Linked DNA regions of Macaca fascicularis. The protein of the gene in region 3 interacts with the protein of the main gene of each other region in a pairwise test. Links are inferred from orthologs where the notes say so. Each region holds a gene or a part of one and is shown on either strand. Other genes may lie near its edges.

Region 1 (4,245 bases), on a different chromosome or scaffold from region 3:
GCCAGAGCTTTCCACCTTTAACAGAAGTAAGTAACTGGAATTTGGCAGAGGCCTCTTCTGGAGACTTCAAGGATTTTCAACAGGAACCTATGTGGGCAACATTGGGCTAGTTTCCAGGGCTTCTGAAAGCCTTCACTTTTAGAAGTATTACTTCTGGGGGTGGTATATGAAACCTACATTGGGTCACTAAGATAAGATGTGGCCAGGAACTCACACTCAGGGGAGAGGTGGGGGCCAGAATCTGGATCAGGGCCTAAAACTACCCACTCAGTAATGGGAAAGGACTGACTAGGATGTCAGACGGAGCCCCTCCATTTTCCTCTTTCCACAGGGGACTAAAGCTGGGCTATCAAATACACAGAAAAGGGGAATTCTAATGCCTCTGCCTACATTCAGGCCACAAGTTACAGTCCCAAAGACTGCTTCCAGGCAGCACAATAGTCTGACAGTCAAAGCAGGTGCTACCAAGGGAGGTATGAGTCTATAAAAAGACTTCAGAGCCCTTTACTGTGCAGCAGTCATTTTGTCAGACTTGAGGATCAGGCAGCTATAGACACTTACAATGTCAAAGAGTTGACCAAGTTTGGAAGCAAGCAAACTGGATGATTAACTGAGTGAGCCTCAGCAGGGCCCACAGGCTCCCAGTGGAGGAGCGTGCCAGGACTGCCTTCGGGAAAGAAAACCTCATTTCAGGCCTCAGTTCTACCTATAGCTTAAGCCTAAATAAGTTCTCAACTGTTTTAAAAGATTCTTGGAGATGTTAGGCTGAGTTTCATCATTTTTTTTAAAGTCCAGGCCTTGTTCTATTTTCTGAATCCAAAATGCACTCTTATGTATTGCAGCCATTATTTTCCTGGAGCCCCTGATGTCAGGGAGCACAAAATACAGATTTCTAGTCAGGACCCCTAAGAGTTTTCAGACTTCCAAAGGTTTGGAGTTTCGTAAGCAGCCAACCAGATGTCTAATACCAGAGGGCCCATCTAGTAAACACCTCTCACCTGGACTGTGGGACTGTCTTATCCACAAACAGGAAGATCGCCTTTTCAGAAGGAAGCTGGATCCTTTTCCTGATGATCCACATGAACTGAGCCACAGTGATATCAGATGGAACCAAGTACTTCCGTTTGTCAATGTCAACAATCTGAGAGCCTGAGACCTTTTCCACAATCACCTGGGAAAGTAAAGAGAGGTCAGGACTGCGTTTCCTAAAGGGAGGCTCTGGCCTCACATGGCTGAGGAGCTGACGAACAGAGTGTGGGCAAGGAGGTGGGTGGGAAACTGCATAGCAGGAGAAAATATGTCTTTGGCTTAATAAACCACATGCTCTGGAGGTTAAGAATTGATATAAATGTGTTATAGGGAAACGGTAAGTGCTTTTCTGTGGTCAATTATGTAAGAGAAATGCAGCCCTTACTACTAAGCTTTTCCACATTTTATCTGGGCAGACCTAAGAGTATCTGGGGAGGATTTCATCCATGGTCCGTTACTCTAGGACCCCAGAATGGATCCACCTTCACACTACAAGAAACACTACTGTGTTCCCAAGGAACACAGGAGACAAGAACGGATGGACTAATGGGAATGCCTGGAATTTCAGCCAGTCAAGAACCAAGCTCTTCATTTGGCCTGTTGCTCCTCTCTGAACAAGTTTCAAATCCGTCCCTCCTACTCCTTTCCTGAGACGAATTATTCACAAGCAAAGAGCTACAATAACAGGCCTTAATGTCCATTAAAAATTAATAAGGATTACAAAACTGTCTCCCCAACCATGAAAGAAATATAACATCATATTTATTATTGACTAAGAAGAAAACATGGCAGAAGGGTTTTCAGCGCTTTTCACATTATTTTGGTCAGGCAAGGATGACAGGGTCAAGGTGAGGTAACGGAGCTAGAAGTTAGGTAAAGATGGAGGCTCAAAGTAAAAGATGAACGTCCTGAGACTCAAGTACCACTTCCAAGACCAAAGTGACAGTCTCGCTCCACCACCATTCCCAAAAGTGGCAGTGACCTGTTGCCCTGTCCTAGAACATCGTTCCTTACATAATTGGCCAGGGAGCCCCGAGGCTGCAGACGGCTCGCTGGCCTAGATCGGGAGATTCAGCACTGAGGCACCCTGAACAGCACCAGCCCGAGCCCCTCACGCCCCGGCCCTGGAACGCCTCATCCCGGTCTGGCCTGTCAGTTACTATTAACTGGGACTGGAATCTCAACTTGTCAACTGTTGAATGGCCTGGGGCCTATTACGGGTCCCAGACGACAGAGGTGACAGCGAGGTGAGGGGGCGGAGAGTCCAAACACTCACCGGAACCCTGTCGGGATATTTCGCTCGAATCTTCGCGGACTCCACGCATCTGTGTTCTGTGGGAGAAACAAACAGGGCTGACGGCTGCGCCTGCCCCCCGGTCGGTTTCCGGCCCCCGGCCCTCCTCCTCCTGCGCCCTGCGCACAGCCCAGGCCCTGGTTCCGGCGTCCCTGCGGCCGCGGTCCTGTCCCCTACTGCTCCCAGCAGGGCCCGCGGAGGGTGACACGGGGTCAGGAGGCGGCTGCCCCAGGCACCAGGGCCTGGGCGACTCGAGACCGGAGCAGGGCATCCGCCCCACTCCACCCGAACCAGGGCCGCCACAGTGGGGGAGGGGGCCCACCCGCCGCCCCGGCCACCAGCAGCCCGGCCGACGGCCAAGTGCTTACCCAGCGAGTGGTCCTCCTTGAACATCCACTTCATGGCGGCGGCGGGAAAGGGACGGAACCGGCTCTCGGAGCCGCGGAGCTCAGCGCACCGACCACAACAACAACGACGGCAGCAGCGGTAGCGACGGCGGCGACTACACGGCAGGCGGGACTTCCGGCTGTCGGAGCCTAGCAACCGGTCGGGGGCGGGGCTTCCGGCGCTATTTGCCAGGACGCCGCGCCAAGGGGCCGGGCCGCAAGTAAAGGGGCGGGGCAGCGGATGGCCCCCTCGGAGGATCCTGGGCTACGGAGGTGATGAAGTTGGTTACGGGGACGTCTGTGAGCAGTATCTGCGACCCCAGGAAGGAATGTTCGGGGAACTGGTGACAGGAGTGGGGTCTCGGGAGCGTTGGTGGCGGGAAACGTCTGGCTGATAGTGTAGGGCTCTTACTGAGGGCTGTTTGGGGGTGTGGCTGATAGTTGAGAGCGCTTAGAGCGGTTCATAGGGAAAGTCTGAATGGGGAATTGGTGACAAGAACGGTCTTTAGGGGTAAGAATGACATGAGGGGTTTCTAGTGCTTGGCGATAACAAAGGAGCTGTTTAGGGCGTTGAAAGTTGGGGAGTATTGCTCGGAGGGGTGACAGATTGGGGGCTCAGTATGGTAGGGGTGGTGTTTGAGGACACTGTAGGAGGTGGCACTGAGGACAACCCGGAGGTACAGTATTAGGGACAGCTGTAATAGGTTGCCTTGGACCTAGAAATTGAATTTAAACAAATCCCATTTTCTTGCTTTATTCGTGAATAAATATTTGAATAAACATTTACGAAAAGGTATCACAAATGCACATTTGAGGCGGGGCGCGGTAGCTCACGCCTGTAATCCCAACACTTTGGGAGGCCGACGCGGGTGGATCACCTGAGGTCAGGAATTGGAGACCAACCTGGCCAACGTAGTGAAACCCCAAAAATTAGCCAGGCATGGTGGCGGGCGCCTGTAGTCCCAGCTCCTCGGGAGGCTGAGGCAGGAGAATCATTTGAACCACAGAGGTGGAGGTTGCAGTGAGCCAAGATCACACCACTGCACTCCAGCCTGGGCAACAGAGCAAGACTCTGCCTCAAAAAAAAAAAAAAAATGCACATTTGAGGAGTGTAACATCACTGATCACAGACCCCTTAATCTTAGCTGGCAGAGGAGTTAGAGGTGACTGTCAGATTCGGAGAATTCCCCTGAGAGCTGGTCATGAGATGGTTTTCCTCGTTTGGCTGTGGAAGTGGTTTAGCAATCACAGCCTGAGCTATGTGTGTGTCACCTGCCCGGACATATGCTTTGAGATTCTCCAGTCAGTGACGTAATGCCTTTTTTCCAAGCAGAGTCATCAAGGCAGTCTGGTGTGGGTCACCATCTGTTTATAAGCTGCTGAACATGTAGCAAGAATGTTCACTTAATTGGACACATGAACTCTGCCACGTGCTTGTGATTCTGATGCACCTGTAAAGCCTGTATGTTTGAACATGGTAGTTCATCATTTCCTACACTGGAAATTCCTGATTGATGCTGTGGAATCTAGCTTCAT
Region 2 (4,231 bases), on a different chromosome or scaffold from region 3:
TTTGAGACCACTCTGGCCAACATGGTGAAACCCCGTCTCTACCAAAAATACAAAAATTAGCCTGTAATCCCAGCTACTCGGGAGGCTGCAGCAGGAGAATCGCTTGAACCTGGGAGGTGGAGGTTGCAGTGAGCTGAGATTGCTACCACTGCACTCCAGTCTGGGCAACGAGGGTGAAACTCCATCTCAAAAAGAAAAAAAAAAAAGCGAGTTGACAGAACAGCCCTGGTATACAGTAAGTGCTCAATAAATGTTAGCTGCTGCTACTGCTTTTCAGACTGTGGTTACTGGCTCAAGCACAGTGGCTCATGTCTGTAATCCCAGCGCTCTGGGAGGCCAAGGCAGGAAGATCGCATGAGCCCAGGAGTTCCAGAGCCTGGGCAGCATACTAAGACCCCATCTCTACAAAAAAATAAAATAAAATTAGCTGAGCGTGGTGGTGTGCACCTTTAGCCTCAGTTGCTTGGAAGGCTAAAGCAGGAGAATCGCTTCAGCCCAGGAAGTTGAGGCTACGGTGAGCTATGATCAGGCCACTGCGCTCTAGTCTGGGCAATATAGCAAGACACCGTCTCTACAAGACAAGACTGATGTTAATATGAGGAACTTATCAATAAACGTGGCCAAAGCGTCCTCTCTCTTGCACTAGGTCCCTGTCACCTTTTCTCTTGTTCATCTCCAGGCATCATGATGGAAGTCCCCCCTACCCTTCCTCCCACCTAGGAAACCACCTGAATGATTTGCCTTCCACCTCCCCCAAAGTCCCGCCCCCCTCCAGCGTGCTGTCACTGAAGGAAGCTGTCGCGTTTTCCCGGATATCTCTCCACAAAACCCGCCACCCAAATGGGGCTTCTTTCCGGAAAATCCAGGAGGGCGGTCTGGAGGAAGCGCACCCCTCCTTACGTCACAGCCGCCGCAGCTACCCCAGCCTGGCGTAAGAGCCCGAGGGAGTTGCCCTGCCCTGACCCAGAGCCTTGGCGGGGAAGGGAGAGAGATACCCCACCCCACCCCACCCTGGTACCAAAGGACCATGGGTGCTTGGGGCCGCCTGGGTGGAAGGGAGAGGCCGGGTTCTAAGGGGCGGGAACGTTGGGATGAAATTTGTTCTATTTCCTTAAGGGGCGGGGCTAAGAAGGAGGTGGTTGCGAGTGGGCGTAGTCACTCGGGTGGGCGTGGCTATGTACAAGGGGCGGGGCCATTGACAGGAAAAGATGCGCAGTGCTCCCCTAGTGGGCCGGTTCTATGGAGAAAGCAGTGCCACGCACAGGGGGCGTGGCTAGAAGCAAAAAAAATTGTTTCAAGGGGGCGGAGCAAGAGCCTGGGAAGTTAGTTTGAGGCGGGGCCTGCAGGGGGCGGGGCCTGCAGGAGCCGTGGTCAGGTAACTGGGCTGGGTTCCCACTAGGTGTGGTCTCGGAAGGCTGGGGCGGTGGCAACGTGGAGGGCGGGGGTGACAGCAGCCCCGAGCCCGCAGAGCCTCAGCTTCCGCCTGGTCCCAGCCTCGTGGGAGCCCCGCGGGTCCTGCCTAGGTGAGTGGAGCCCCAGGGCAGATCCAGAACCAAGATTATTGGGATGGGGCGTCCTCTCTTTCCAGGTGGGGCCATCGGCTCGCAGGGAGGATCTGGGGTAGAAGAGGTCGCCTCGCGAATGAGTGGGTCGCTGTGCATTACGCGTGTCGGTGTGCCCGGGCTCACCTGGGCGTGATCCCCTAAGTGTATTTCCTGTGCAGCACAGAAAGCCATTGTTTCCATTTTTGCCTGAGTGATCCTTTTAAACGGCGAATCAGATCGGGCTCCTCCTTTACTTAAAACCCTTGGGCAGTAGAGATTAAAATTCAAAGTCTACCAGTTTCTGCCCGGGCTCTCCTCCTGATCTCTCTAACATCGCTGCCCTCCTATCTGCTCCTTGCTCATGGTATTCCGGCTACACCATGCGCCTTGATGATGTAAAATATAAAAAGCAAGTCCACCTCACCTCCAGGCCTTTGCCCTTACTGTACCCCTCACCCAGACGACTCCTCGAAATCTTTGCCTAACTGCCTCCTTCTGTACTGAGGTCTCAGTTCCAATGTCACTTTATAGGAGAGGTTGTCCTGTCCAGCCTCCTTTATCACATCTCCCTGGCTTATCACTTTCATTGATAACTCTTAGAAATGGTCTGTCTTCTCCATTCATCTCGCGCTTGTTTGTGGTCTCTCTTGCCCAGCTGACTGCAAGCTCTGGAGGGTAGGGCGGTGCCAGGCTTTAATCTCCTTAGTCACTGTATCTCTAGGTTCTAGAACAGAGCCTGGTGCACAGCAAGTGCTCCAGCAATGTTCGTCCAATGTCAAAAGCGAGTCCTGCATACATCTGTGTTTGTATCGCCTGTGCTGGTGGTTCCCACCCTCCACATCCCTCCCCACACGTGGACACATGTTTATGATCCAACTGGAACATGAATAATTCCCTCTCCTCTCCCCATGCTTGGTCTGATGCCTGACTCTGCCCCCTTCTCTTCTGTGCCCGAATAAATGATCCCAAAGGACTCAGAGGCAGGAGAATGACTTAGTTGGCCTTTGGCTGACCTATGGCCACCCTGTGTCCCCAAACTAACCAGAACCTTGCCATTGACTCAACTTCACTCTCACTAAGGGAGACACAAGGCAGGAACTTGGGGTTGGGAGACTCTGAGACCGAGGCTAGCCCTGGTCCAGGTGACAAACAGGAAGTGCAAAGGCATTCCAAAGACACACCTGGCTTCAGGTATGCGGCACGGGCAGCTGGCTCCCTGCCCAGAGCTCCTCCCCTAAAGCCACCTCGGGCTAGTCTGGGAACTTCCTGCTGACTCAGGAGACAGAAATTTCTCTGCAGACCCTACCAGACCCAGAAGACTTTGCAGGGCTGCGGGGAGAGCTTGCAGGAGAGTAAGAAGCAGATTATCTCCTTCTGGACCATTCAGAGAAATCTCCCCCACCAGACAGACACCTGAGACACACTGGCCCTGAGGCCTGTGAGATTATCAGGAAACTACCAAAATGTCTGAGATCTAAATTCGATCATCATGATGACCAAATATATGGGCTCTGAAATACAAGGACCTGCAAAGGCAACATTGCTGTTTGCTGACATTGCTACAAAATGTGACCTTCTAAAAATCTTAACCCTGGGTTACATTTTTTTTCCCCCCCGAGATGGAGTCTTGCTTGGTCGCCCAGGTTGGAGTACAGTGGTGTGATCTCGGCTTACTGCAGGATCCACCTCCCGGGTTCAAGCGATTCTCTCGCCTCAGCCTCCTGAGTAGCTGGGACTACCACCATGCCTGGCTAATTTTTGTATTTTTAGTAGAGACGGGGTTTCACTGTGTTGGCCAGGCTGGTCTCAAACTCTTGACCTCGGATGATCCACCCGCCTCTACCTCCCAAAGTGCTAGGATTACAAGAGTGAGCCACTGCGCCTGGCCCCGCCAGTGCTGCATTCTAAAGCAAAAAATAGGGGTTAGATTTGCACCTATCCTGAGAACCTCTGAGTGTGCGCATAGGTTGCCGAGAAGCCATGGACCTTTGTAAGTTAAATTCCCCCTGATTGGGATGTTTTTTCACCCAGTCACCTGGCACACTCCCCAGAATTCCTTCCAGACTTTACTCAATGAGACCTTCCCTGGCCACATAGTCAAAAATGTTCACCCAGCCTGGGCAACATGGCAAGACCCGATATATATATATATATATATATATTTAAAAATATATATATATATATATTTTTTAAAAAATATATATATATATATATAAATTAGCCAGGCATGGCCAGGCACAGTGGCTCATGCTGGTAATCCTAGTGCTTTGGGAGGCTGAGGCAGCTGGATCACCTGAGGTCAGGAGTTCGAGAGCAGCCTGGCCAACATGGAGAAACCCCATCTCTACTACTACAGGCTCAAGCCTGTAATCCCAGCACTTTGGGAGGCCGAGACGGGCCGATCACGAGGTCAGGAGATCGAGACCATCCTGGCTAACACGGTGAAACCCCCGTCTCTACTAAAAAAATACAAAAAACTAGCCAGGCGAGGTGGCAGGCGCCTGTAGTCCCAGCTACTCGGGAGGCTGAGGCAGGAGAATGGCGTAAACCTGGGAGGTGGAGCTTGCAGTGAGCTGAGATCCGACCACTGCACTTCAGCCTGGGTGACAGAGTGAGACTCCATCTCAAAAAAAAAAAAAAAAGGCCAGGCACGGTGGCTCAAGCCTGTAATCCCAGCACTTTGGGAG
Region 3 (3,560 bases):
GCAGGCTGGGAGGGCTGGGCTGGTTTGGGGAGGGAGTAAAAGGCCAGAGTGCACCCTGTGGAGGAGCTGTCTGTAATTGAGAAGGAGCCACAGGAAAGAGATCTGCATTTGCAGGAAGCTCTCATCTGACCCCAGGCTGGGGACTGGGCCAGCTGAGAGCACTGGATGAAAAGACTGATGTTCAGATGTTGGATGGCAGGGGGTTAGAGTATCATCCAGAGGCTTCTCCTCTCCCTGCTGCTCTTCTTTCCCCCATCTTTTTCCTTTCTCCTACACTGATGAGTGGTCTTGCATAGGAGCCTGTAACCAATACCATTAGGAATTCTCCCCCACATATGCCCAGGGAGGCCAGACACCAGGGAAGAGCCAGATGGTCCTTGCAGGGCAGGCCTGGAGCTTCAGTGAGTCATGACCTGGAACCTGTGGCCACCCTGCCTCAGTAGGAGCTGGAATCACCAGACTTCTCATTAAATGTGAAAAGTAAGTAACCCTTATCTTGTTTAAATCCCTACAACTAAGCCAACTGGCTCATACCAGCCATCCAAGAAACTTGCTCTAAATCTCTTGTTTTTATAAGAATCTCAGGCAAAGAAGGTATTCCAGAGAATTCAGAGCAAAAAGGCTTTTCTGGGAAGCAATGGTAGCCACATATTTAGTATCAGAGATTCAGAGCCAAGGGAGTTTATGGGAGGCAATGCATATTTCATGCACTCTTACTCTCTTTAATGTTGCACAGTATTATCTAGTGCTTTAGGAGTCAAGTAGGGGCAGCAGTTCTCATAAGGGGGCTGCTTCCAAGGCTGGTTTTACTAAGAGATTCCCATCTCCTCCTCCATACCACTAAACTGATGATTACCATTACCATATTAAAGATGCTTGTGTGTGAGCACCTGCAAGTCTATTCCACTGTCAAAGCTGAAAATGTGGAAATTCTTAAAGAGTGGTGCTAAAAAGTCTATCTGGTCCCCGTGATAAGATGTGCATAACCTCAACTGCATCCTGAGAAAACACCAGCCGAACTGAAATGGTTAGACAGTCTGCAAAGTACCTGAACAACACGTTTTATAAGAGTCAAGGCCATGAAAGACAAGGAAAGACATAGGAGCTATTACAGGTTAGAATGGACTGAAAAGATCTGACAACTAAGTGCAATGTGGGATCTGGAGTGGACACAGAAGCATAAGCACTGGCGAATGCTGAGAAGTCTGTGGTTTAGCAGACAGCCTGTGCCAGTGGTCGTTCAGTCTTGATCCTTGTGCCTGCTCATGTGAGATAGCATTCGGGAATGCCGGCGAGAGATACAGGAGCTCTGTGCCCTATCTTAGCAACTCTCCTGTTAAGCCTAATTTCCAACTAAAAAGGCAAAATGTAATCTACCAGGCTCTTTGGCTGTGGTCAACTTACTGTTGCTTGGTCCTGCCACGTATGATTTCTAGGTTCTCAAAAGCATGGAGGTCCGTCCTGTTTTCAGGCCAAGCCTGAATCAGCAAAAACCCTGTAAGGCAGAGGAGACTCAGACACACACCACACAGGAGTTTCTTTTTTGTATGAGACATTACTCTAGACTCTCAGGGACTTTGTATTATAGGAACAGTGAGTGGGAAAATTGGATTTGCTTTCTTTTTCGTTATCATCTTCTCTGAGTGTACATGCGAATGGGCGGATGCAGGCCAGCCAGAGTTCACGGCTGCCTCCCGCCTCCCCCAGCGATTCCCCATGTCTCCCGCCGCCCCTCTGGCTGTGGCCCTGGGACCCCTGCTGCGCAGGGTATCTGATTACCCCCAAGAGGCTCCTGCTGCGATTATCTGCCAATTATGGATCTGGTATCACATACAAGGAGCTTTACAGATTTTCCTTATTTGATTCCAACCCTAAAACAGTTGTGTTATATAAGTCTAATTTTCCCATTTTAGAGAGGAAGGAAGCGGAGCTCAGGTGGCAGTCATGGACCCGAGGCTTGCCCGTGGCCCCACAGGGCTCTGGCATCCAGTTTCAAAAGCCTGAGGCCCAGGCTGCCCCTCGCCTACCCCTGTCCTCTCCCTCTACCCGCAGGGGTTATGGGCCACCAAGGCAGCTGGCTGGGGCCGGGTAGGAGGGAGAAAGCGTGTTCACATGCGCAGTGAATGACCTAAGCCTGGGCTTAACGTGTCCCCTTTTGCCTGCAGGGAAACTGTACTTTTGAAAAGTATCAAAACATCAGCCATTAATGGTAAAATTTCAGAAGAAATGTTTTTATTCCAAGGGAGAAGGAAATATGTCGAAAAGTTCTCGCTCTAAAACACTGATTTCCCATTTATATTCATGCGATCATTCAGCTCAAACCTGTGATTTCCTTTACGGTTTTCAGAATATCCAGTTCCTGTGGATCCAGAGGCGGAGTGTGTGTGAAGGAGTCACTGAAACAAACAACAGGTGATTATTGATCTCCTGTCTCTACCAGTTAAAAAGGCAGACTTTGTTTTTCTCTATACAAGTAACTGAACCTGTGACTCACCCCCTAAATGCCACCGGCAGGATGTGGAGATCGCCACTGATGGAGGTGCAGTTTTTGAAGTGTTTAATATTTGTAGCATTTATGGAGAGTGTGTCTTTAAATTCACCAATACCTATTCCATTACACACTGCAGAGATAAGAGAGACGTGTATTCCGTTCACATTGGTGGATTAAGAATAGCTAGGGATCCACAGGCAGAGGGAAGCAGGAAGGAATTCCAGTCGCGGGAACTGCCACTGCCATATCAGCCTTCATTCACTCAACAAACACTGACGGGGCTGGGGAGGGTGCGGGGGGCAGGGGGACACGAGGACCTATAGCACACTTTGGGGCTACGGCGGTATAGGAGATGCCATCCCTGTCACTGCACACCGACCTTGCATTCTCCTCATTATTTCCCCTGGGCCGCATGGAGCTGGACTGCTTCCAGCTCTGCCTTCCCTGGATTCTCCCCAGGGCTGGGCATCTGGCAGCTGCTGAGGGGCTGGCTCTGTGCACTGTTCTCGTCGGAGCCCCCCACCCTATCACAACCTTCAGTGCCTTCCCATTGCCTAACCTGGCTTTGCAGCTTTATCTTCTATTTTAAAGAAATGATATTTATAGTTGTTTTTTAATGAGAAGAAGAAGTAGTGTTCATTTGGAGGTGGCATGAAAGCCCAGCCTCAGCAGCTGAGAACAAGCCTCATCCGCACACCAGCGGGCTTCCTACCTTTGCGGCAAGGCCCTTCGCACTTCTTACACTTGCGGACGCCGTCTTCCTCCATCTCATAGCTGTCGGCCCCGCAGGCTCGGACGCACGAGCCGTGATCTGTCACCACATAATTACCTGGGGAAGAGAGCATGAAAGGAAGGTGACGACGGTGGCGCCAGGTGCTCGGGCCTCACACAGACAGTCCAGGTCCTCCTCTCGAGTGCTGATGGAAAGGCTCCATCCTCCTTTGGCTTTATTTACTTTAAGGACAAAGAATGAAAGGTTGCAAATAGAAAAGGAATTCCGTTCAATAGTTTAATAAATTCTAGGCTGCAATGTGGATAATACAGGTGTTTCATCAGGGCAGGAAACAGG

Evidence for each region.
Region 1: the proteins of EGFR (region 3) and GABARAPL2 interact in binary tests that used the Homo sapiens proteins (3 or more experiments, as listed by UniProt). The link is inferred for Macaca fascicularis from reciprocal best matches to the Homo sapiens genes EGFR and GABARAPL2.
Region 2: the proteins of EGFR (region 3) and SH2D3A interact in binary tests that used the Homo sapiens proteins (3 or more experiments, as listed by UniProt). The link is inferred for Macaca fascicularis from reciprocal best matches to the Homo sapiens genes EGFR and SH2D3A.

The regions. Positions count from the first base shown.
Region 1 is NC_088394.1:71,416,070-71,420,314, reverse strand, and holds the start of GABARAPL2 (gamma-aminobutyric acid receptor-associated protein-like 2), read right to left. Parts: upstream 2,835-4,245; 5' UTR 2,726-2,834; coding exon 2,692-2,725; intron 2,362-2,691; coding exon 2,306-2,361; intron 1,172-2,305; coding exon 999-1,171; intron 1-998. UniProt on the Homo sapiens protein: Ubiquitin-like modifier involved in intra-Golgi traffic. Modulates intra-Golgi transport through coupling between NSF activity and SNAREs activation. It first stimulates the ATPase activity of NSF which in turn stimulates the association with GOSR1.
Region 2 is NC_088393.1:7,530,449-7,534,679, reverse strand, and holds the start of SH2D3A (SH2 domain-containing protein 3A), read left to right. Parts: upstream 1-1,397; 5' UTR 1,398-1,523; intron 1,524-4,231.
Region 3 is NC_088377.1:75,245,999-75,249,558, forward strand, and holds part of EGFR (epidermal growth factor receptor), read right to left. Parts: intron 3,321-3,560; coding exon 3,204-3,320; intron 2,622-3,203; coding exon 2,495-2,621; intron 2,397-2,494; coding exon 2,323-2,396; intron 1,496-2,322; coding exon 1,405-1,495; intron 1-1,404. UniProt on the Homo sapiens protein: Receptor tyrosine kinase binding ligands of the EGF family and activating several signaling cascades to convert extracellular cues into appropriate cellular responses.